Coturnix japonica: one gene and its partner. The protein of the gene in region 2 purifies or fractionates together with the protein of the main gene of each other region. This does not show direct contact. Links are inferred from orthologs where the notes say so. Each region holds a gene or a part of one and is shown on either strand. Other genes may lie near its edges.

Region 1 (3,650 bases), on a different chromosome or scaffold from region 2:
CCCACTCTGAGCTGCAAAGCAGGAACCAGTGAGCTCTGAGCACTCGGTGTGTGGCTGGTGGCACTCAGCTGACGTGTGATGTGCCCAGCTGAGATAAAGCACTGCTACAAGAGCTCTGAAATAAGGGGTCCTGTTACACAACTTCTGGCTTTACCAGATCAGCTACTGACTTAAGCAGTGCCTGTTATGGAGCTGCTGCCACCTGCCTCCAAAGCCATGCCCTATGCATGGCAACAAGAGCACCTGGCCAGGATATGCCCCAATACCCCTCGAAAGGATGTCTGAGATATGTGGGGTCTGTGGGGATGCCCCCGCCCTTTACCTTGCAAGCTGAGGGTCTTCAGCCTGAACTCAGTGCCATAGAGGACCACGAAGCAGTGGGACTGATCCGGTCGGAAGCACGGATCCTCCTGGTACCGGTCAAAATCACGTGAATTCTTTCCAGGACGAATCTCTTTGATTTCACGAATATCCACTAAGAGACAACGTGGGGGAAAAAAACCACAGGGGATATCAGCAAAGAGCTCGAAATCACTGAGACAATGAAGGTCTGTGGTTCCTTACGGGAGAAGGGAGGGCAGTGCAGCGCTCACACAGCCACCGCAGCATGGGGGAGCTGCAGCATGGCAGGATGCAATGTGCCAGGATGCAATGCATGGGAGAGAAGAGGGAGCTGGAGAGATGCTGGAGAGGGCGGCCACAGCGTCCTTCCCAGAGGACATTCTGGGAAAGGACATTCATTACCATCAGACAGAACACAACAGCAGCAACAACAGCAACAAAAAAACCCCAACAAACCCAACAAACCCAAACCCGAGAATCTTTGCTTCCTGGAAAAAATAGTTTCTGAAACACCCGAGGGAATCAAATAACAACATTTCTGAGTCACGTTTTCAAGGCAGACGATGCTTCTGAGCAATGTGGGATGGTGATTACTGCAAACCTGGAGTCTAATTCATCCCAATTAAACTCCACTTACCGCAGTCACTGCGCACCGATTTGCTTCTTGCTTCCATTTGCTGCAGTTTGAGAGCAGACACAAGTGTGAGCTGCCCAGCAGCCTGCAGAGGCTGACAGCACTGGGTTGGGTTGTGAGATGCTCGTTCCTAGCAAACCCAATAGCAGGCTGGGATGCAGCCTGGTGCTTGTAACAAACCGTGCAGAGGGAGCATAGGATGGCCTGGCACAGCCATATCCTGCCTGGTGCTGCAGTAGCTCAAAGCTCAGCAGCCAAGGCCACACGCAGACCCAGCTCCCCAGGTGTAGAGACAGCTGAGCCAGCTCCCTAAAGCAGCAGATGCCTTTGTAAGGCACCAACTACCCCTTGGATACCAGTGGCCAGGAGGTTCATCGCGTCCCATTGTCATCTGTCTGTGTGTCACATCCTTAGTGACATGGCATGTCATCTAAAGTAAAAACGCATCACAGCTGTGGTCTTTGCGTCTGTGATGTGCACAGCAAAGGCTATTCCTGTCCTAGGACCTGACAAAAGCAGTGGGAACGAATGGATTTCATGGCACTTTACCAGGCAATAAAGTACTTGCTGCAAAGCATCCCTGTGGGGTAGAGGAGGCTGAGCTATCCTTGCAAACTGCATCCCCAAAATGCACACCAGGGAGAGCACCCAGAGCAAGAGGGGAGCCCGGCAAAGGAACGTGGTGCAGGGAGCAGCTCACGGCTGCTGCTATGAGCACCCTGCACACCGAGCTGTTAACAAGCTCCGGCCCACGCCTGCCTGCAGCTGCTTGCTCATCTCTCATCCTCCCAAACATACCCATGTGCACTGGGCGCATGAGGGTTTGGTTTCTGCCCTCAGCCTCCCCAGCCCCCTCACACTGTGGAAGGAAATGAGCTCTCAGCAGGAAGCACTGTGAGCACAGATGCCACCGTCCCAACCGTGCAGCACTGCAATACTGCATCCCTATAGCATCCCATGTTCCCATCGGGCAGCAAAGCCCCAGCAGCAGCACAGGACCTGCATGCAGCCTGCAGGGGAGCAGAGGGAGGGTAACTCTGGCTCTGTTACAACACCAAACCCTACTTTTCACCTGCATCAAAACTGAGTAGTATCCATCAGCTTATCCCAGTGAAAAAAACAGCGAGAAATGTCTTCTCTGCAACACAGTTTCTCCCAAACACAACCTATGTGACAACTTCTGGTCTTCCCACAGCTCCCAGGGAAGGTCTGAAAGCACATCAGGTGAGGAAGGTGGACAAAAAGACCCAACTCACAGATGCGTGCAGGTAGAAAAGAGAGCGATCTGTTACGTAGCACCACAGGGAATAACACAGCAGTGGAACACAAGAAGTGGAGACCAACATCTTATATCCTATCTCAAAGAAGGCAGTAACCTTGACACAACAAAAGCCTATTTCAGAGGGAAGAGCCATCTCTCATCAGGATAGATTTTCACAGTGACAATAGCTCATCCTCTCAGCCCTGCACACTTTCCTCAATAGATGAGACTAAATGGGATACTGCGATGGTAATTAACTGCCTGTGCACAGAGATGTGGTGCCGGGTTTCTGCTCCTTCTCCCTGGCCACACACACGGCCATCAGCACTCAGGTTTCTGGATCCCACTGCTCTCATTGCTGTGATGTGCAGGCACCTCTCCTCCCTTAGGAAAGCACACAGGTTAAGCTCTTTTTCCTTGCAGCCTTGGCTCGGTTGTGCCATTGCCATGGCTCGCTCTGGCAAGCTGCTCCATCTCACTCACTACCCACAGCAGCAAACTGCAACCTTTGCTCTCAGCTGCTGCATTTTGCTATGAGGTGATGTCTGTGTTAGCTGAACAGCAGAGGCAGCTGCATCCACAGTGAGTGCCTTGGCAGGGAAGATGCTCAAAACAGATCAATGGGCTGGAGGCAGCAGGGAGCTCCTGGTTTAGCCAGGATGGATGGGAGCAGCCTGATCCTGACTGACCACCAGCAGTGGGATGGGACTGAGTGCTCTGCTCTATGGGAGCCCCAGTATACCCAGATACAACCACAGGAGCTCAGTGGGCACATAGCTTCCTGCTTCGCCTCAAGCTGCTGTTGCACCCCTGAATCACGTGTCCTACAGCTTCTAAGCTCCAGCTCCTCCCTGTACCCCCAGAAATCCTCAGCGAGGGCAGATGGGCAGGAGATGAGGTGATTCACAACTTCGCATCTTTACAATCTGGAGCAGAGAGGTGAAGGCTCTGCCCAAACACTGCCCTGCTCCTACAGGGCAGCCCCTGCCTCACTGTTCCACCAGCCCTGGCCTCGTGTGGGTGACCTTCAAGATCTCACAAGCATCCTCCCAATACCAAGAACAGGCTGGGGGCTGACGGCCGCCTATCCTGCATCATCAGCACATCTCTCCAGATTACCCTCAAATGCAAGAAAGCACACGTTAAAAAAAACCCAAAGCTGGTCCCCCAAGTGAGCAAAGCAGGATGCTGCTATCTCACCATCTCTGCCCACAGCCCAGCAAGCAGCAGGCACGTGAAGGCTGCCAGTTTCCACCGTGTGGCCTCAGCCTCCAAGGCCAAAAAACTTCATACTTGGCTGCTGCCTCCCCCCAGCACCACCACCCTTAAAGCAATGCATCCCCTCTGCAGACCAAACACGGCCCTGGGCCACCCTTCAGTCACCAGCCCGGCCTGTTTGAGAGGCAAAAGCTT
Region 2 (3,650 bases):
TCTCTACTAATCCTTAATCTCCTGGGCCTCATAGTTTCTTCAGCCATCTGCACTGTGGTGGACTTTTTAACCCCTGGTTCTCCACAGCTTAAATCAAGCCCATGTTAGACTTGAAATTCTGAGAGGAAGTAATGAGTTTAAATAAGTGCATGTTTTGTACCAATGTTTCTGTGTAATGCTTCTTTTCCCAACAGAATGCCTCACATGATATAATTTTGCTTTGCACTGAAGATGGTTAAAGAGGAAAAGCCATTATTGGTGGGGGGTGGGGGGATCCTTGCATGCTTCTGTGAAATACACGGACCTTACTATGCTTCTGACTTGTTCATGGATTGCTCGTACTTAGCTCCTAGAATGTTTTATATGCCCAAGCACAAATGAGCAACTGAAGAGCAAATTCCTCCAGTCCCCATTCCTGGTGGACCACCCTGTTTTCAGGGTGCAAAGGAGAAGAAGGTTTATCAGATCACTTATTCCCTCTGCTGACACATACCTGGATCAGCAAGGATACTGAACTGAGCACTGGTGTTTTCCAGTCTCTTGGCCACATTGATACTGAGAAGGCCTTATGTGTTTTCACAGCATCCAAATGGTTAAAGATGAAATTCATACCTTAGTTTGCAACAGTTCGCCTAAAAACAGAGCTAAGGCTGTAATAATCCGCTGCTATAAATTGAAGTTCTAGACCTGAAAGACCAGTGTTTCATACCGAAACTCACTAGGTGATCCCTATGTTTTAAATACTTTGATGTATTCTCTTTTCTCATTTGGATGTCTCCCTAAATACACTGAAGCCGTGCATGTTGCAATGCTTATCTGTATTTTAGTGCTAATGCGCCTTGGTCTGTTAAGGTAACTTCTGGTTTGACGTAGGTGGCAATGCTGCAGAGGACAATGACCCAGAGGTGGATGGGGAGGATGGTGTGTCCTTTATTAATCCGATTGGTACTTTATACACTCCAGCACTTAAAGGTATTCATGTTGGTCTGCAGTCTCCTCTAGTGGCTTTCTTTCCATGTTAAGACTAGTTTGCATCTGTAAGACCCTTCAGAAACCTTTGGATACGTGTTATTGTCATTCTTAACAAGAGGGAGAAAAATTGCTTGGCCAATGCAGTGGTGTATAAATGCTCCCCAGAAATACTGCCACTCCAGCTATCTCTATGCCGGTGTTTGCCCAGATGTCACTGTTTGGGTGTTTTCACTGCGTTTAGAAAATATCTACGTGACAGATATTTTCTGAGAGCACCTCAGCTGCAGTGACGTTAATGTAGCTGGGCATTATTTTCTATGTGAGAACAGCAACCATGAAAAGTGGGAAGAAAACAGTTCCTTAGATGGGGCTTTTCTCCACCACAGTCAGCAACTGTGGCCATAGTGCCTCCTTTTCTGTCAGTGCCCGAGGGAATGATATGAACGATGTTGCCAGTATTTAACTTTGCTTCTTTCATCCATTCCCTAGTGACAGAGGGGCATGGAGAGGTGGATATTAGGCTGCACCTTAACTGCAGTCACTGTGAGATGGACGAGTGCCGTGTTGATCTTGAGACTCAAAAAGTCATTTGCTTTTGTGAGCCAGGCACAGACTTGGCTGAGGATGGTGTGTCTTGCATAGGTAAGTAGATGATAGGCTGGTAAGGTGTGAAACAGGGAAAACACATGGTCAGAATCTATAGCTTGGACTGTAAGACATCTGGAAATCTTATCTTGTCTCTCTCTTAAAAATGGCTCCTGTTGTATGTTATCTATCTTCTTTTCTGCTGCTATTGGCTGTACAGTTATTTTGCTAGAACACAGACATATCAGTGCAGGGGTATGGTGCAAAGAGCAGCATCTCTGGTTTGCTTTGTAGTATATCAACCACATACTGGGCACTGAGGATTGTGAGCCAAGTTTTATCTGCAAGAGGCAAAGGGCAGCAGGTCTGGTTGCAAGAACAGTCACATTTTGCTTTGAAATCATGAAAGTTTTCTCAGAAAAGGAGTTTTTCAGCTAAATTTCCAGGTTATTTCTCTTAAGAACCCCGAGGTAATGTACAAGTAAAGGGGAGTGCGGTTCCTGTGGGCTTGGATACAAGGTGTATATGCAGGATCTGTAAAAAATTCTGCATGAGAGGAAAATAAAAGGCAGTGCCTGTACTTGCCTTGCTTAAGAAACCGAATGCTTAGAACTGCATTACAAGGTTTTATTTCATATTCTTGCCCGGCAGTGTAGCAAGTGACCCCAGGCTTTTGGGATCCTGCTCTCAGCTTTGTCACTGACATGGAAAAATTGTTCTGTATTTTTACCACGGGCACCTGCAAAGTGAGTAAAAGCGTGGTCATTTTGCAGGGTGAAGTAAACCTTAATAGGTGGTCATTGAGTGGCTTGTGATCCAAGTGAGGGTGCAGCTAGGGAATACTTCGCAGTGCATATGTTATCAGTTTTGTGTGCCTGGACTAGATGCATTTAGGAGATGATATATTGCAGTCCTCCTTCTGCTCTGATCTGGCATTGATAGCGGCACTCTAGACCAGGCTATTTAATGTTCTTTCCATCTCCCCAGCCTTCTACCCCCAGCTTTTATGGTCTTGTTTTCATATACAGGGAGTGCACATGTTAATTCCTTGATAGCAAACCATCTGTTTTAATGGCTTGGTATTAATTGAGGAAAGTAAAACAATGAGATATTTGAGTTCATCGATCCTGAGAGCCGATCGCATCAGAGGTTGCTCCTACGCTATAGAAGCAGCAGATGAGTAAATGGGAGGAAAAGCAGACAAATCTAGCTGCAAAAAACAAAGCTTCTGCTGGAAGATCGTGTCAAATGTAATTCCTTTTCCTCTTGTCTCTGTTGCAGCTGAGCCAACGGTTCATCTCCCTCTCTCCTTGGTTTTGTCAGTAGTGACTTCAGCATTGGTTGCTGCCTTAATTTTGGCTTTTTCAGGAATCATGATAGGTGAGTGTTTCTCTGCAATGACTTCTTCATGTGATGGCTGGATCTGATACAAGAATAATCGGGCCCTGGGAGGCAAAAAGGTGCGGTTTATAGCTGCTGCTGTATTGAATGGCACCTTCCCACACACACTCTTTGAGATTTCTGCAGCTGTTTCTAACTACGCTGACCAATTTGAGGAAGTTTCATATCTAAAAGCAAACCTCTTTATTTGTGCGCCTATAGACAGATTTAGCCCCTTAATGTATGACATTTAAGCTTGAAATTCCCACAAAGTTCACCTTACACAGCCTGCTGATTTGTGGAGCGTGGATGTGCTTGGCATCTTTATTTGAAAATCAAAAAAGCATTTTTAACCCTTGCATTTTCTTATTTTAAACTGTGCTTTTCTTGCATTTGGTTGCCAGCAGAACAGATCCGAATCAGTGAGAATCAGCCAGTGATTCAAACCACAGCTCTGCCACCTTTCTTTGTCCACAGTGTAGAAATGAGAGGAGGGAAATGACATACCCAGAGTAGCAAGTGGCAACTGGTCAATTAGATTTGCACAGCTGTTTCAGTGTTAAGAGTTTTGGGAATTGTCAGTTGCACACACATGATATGTGTGATATGTGATTTCTGGATATGTGATTTCTAGCCTGACAGTGCCCCTTTAAAAGTGACTAATTATATCTCAGAATGTGTAAGAATAACCCGCTCTCTGTCCAACCAGGCCA

Evidence for each region. Proteins that work in one complex are often made in the same cells at the same time.
Region 1: the proteins of ALK (region 2) and PLCG1 purify together in Homo sapiens (affinity purification with western blotting; 3 studies listed by BioGRID, with this or other methods). This does not show direct contact. The link is inferred for Coturnix japonica from reciprocal best matches to the Homo sapiens genes ALK and PLCG1.

What each region holds. Positions count from the first base shown.
Region 1 is NC_029535.1:4,203,007-4,206,656, reverse strand, and holds part of PLCG1 (1-phosphatidylinositol 4,5-bisphosphate phosphodiesterase gamma-1), read right to left. Parts: intron 476-3,650; coding exon 323-475; intron 1-322. UniProt on the Homo sapiens protein: Mediates the production of the second messenger molecules diacylglycerol (DAG) and inositol 1,4,5-trisphosphate (IP3). Plays an important role in the regulation of intracellular signaling cascades.
Region 2 is NC_029518.1:10,021,434-10,025,083, forward strand, and holds part of ALK (ALK tyrosine kinase receptor), read left to right. Parts: intron 1-873; coding exon 874-972; intron 973-1,461; coding exon 1,462-1,614; intron 1,615-2,838; coding exon 2,839-2,937; intron 2,938-3,650. UniProt on the Homo sapiens protein: Neuronal receptor tyrosine kinase that is essentially and transiently expressed in specific regions of the central and peripheral nervous systems and plays an important role in the genesis and differentiation of the nervous system.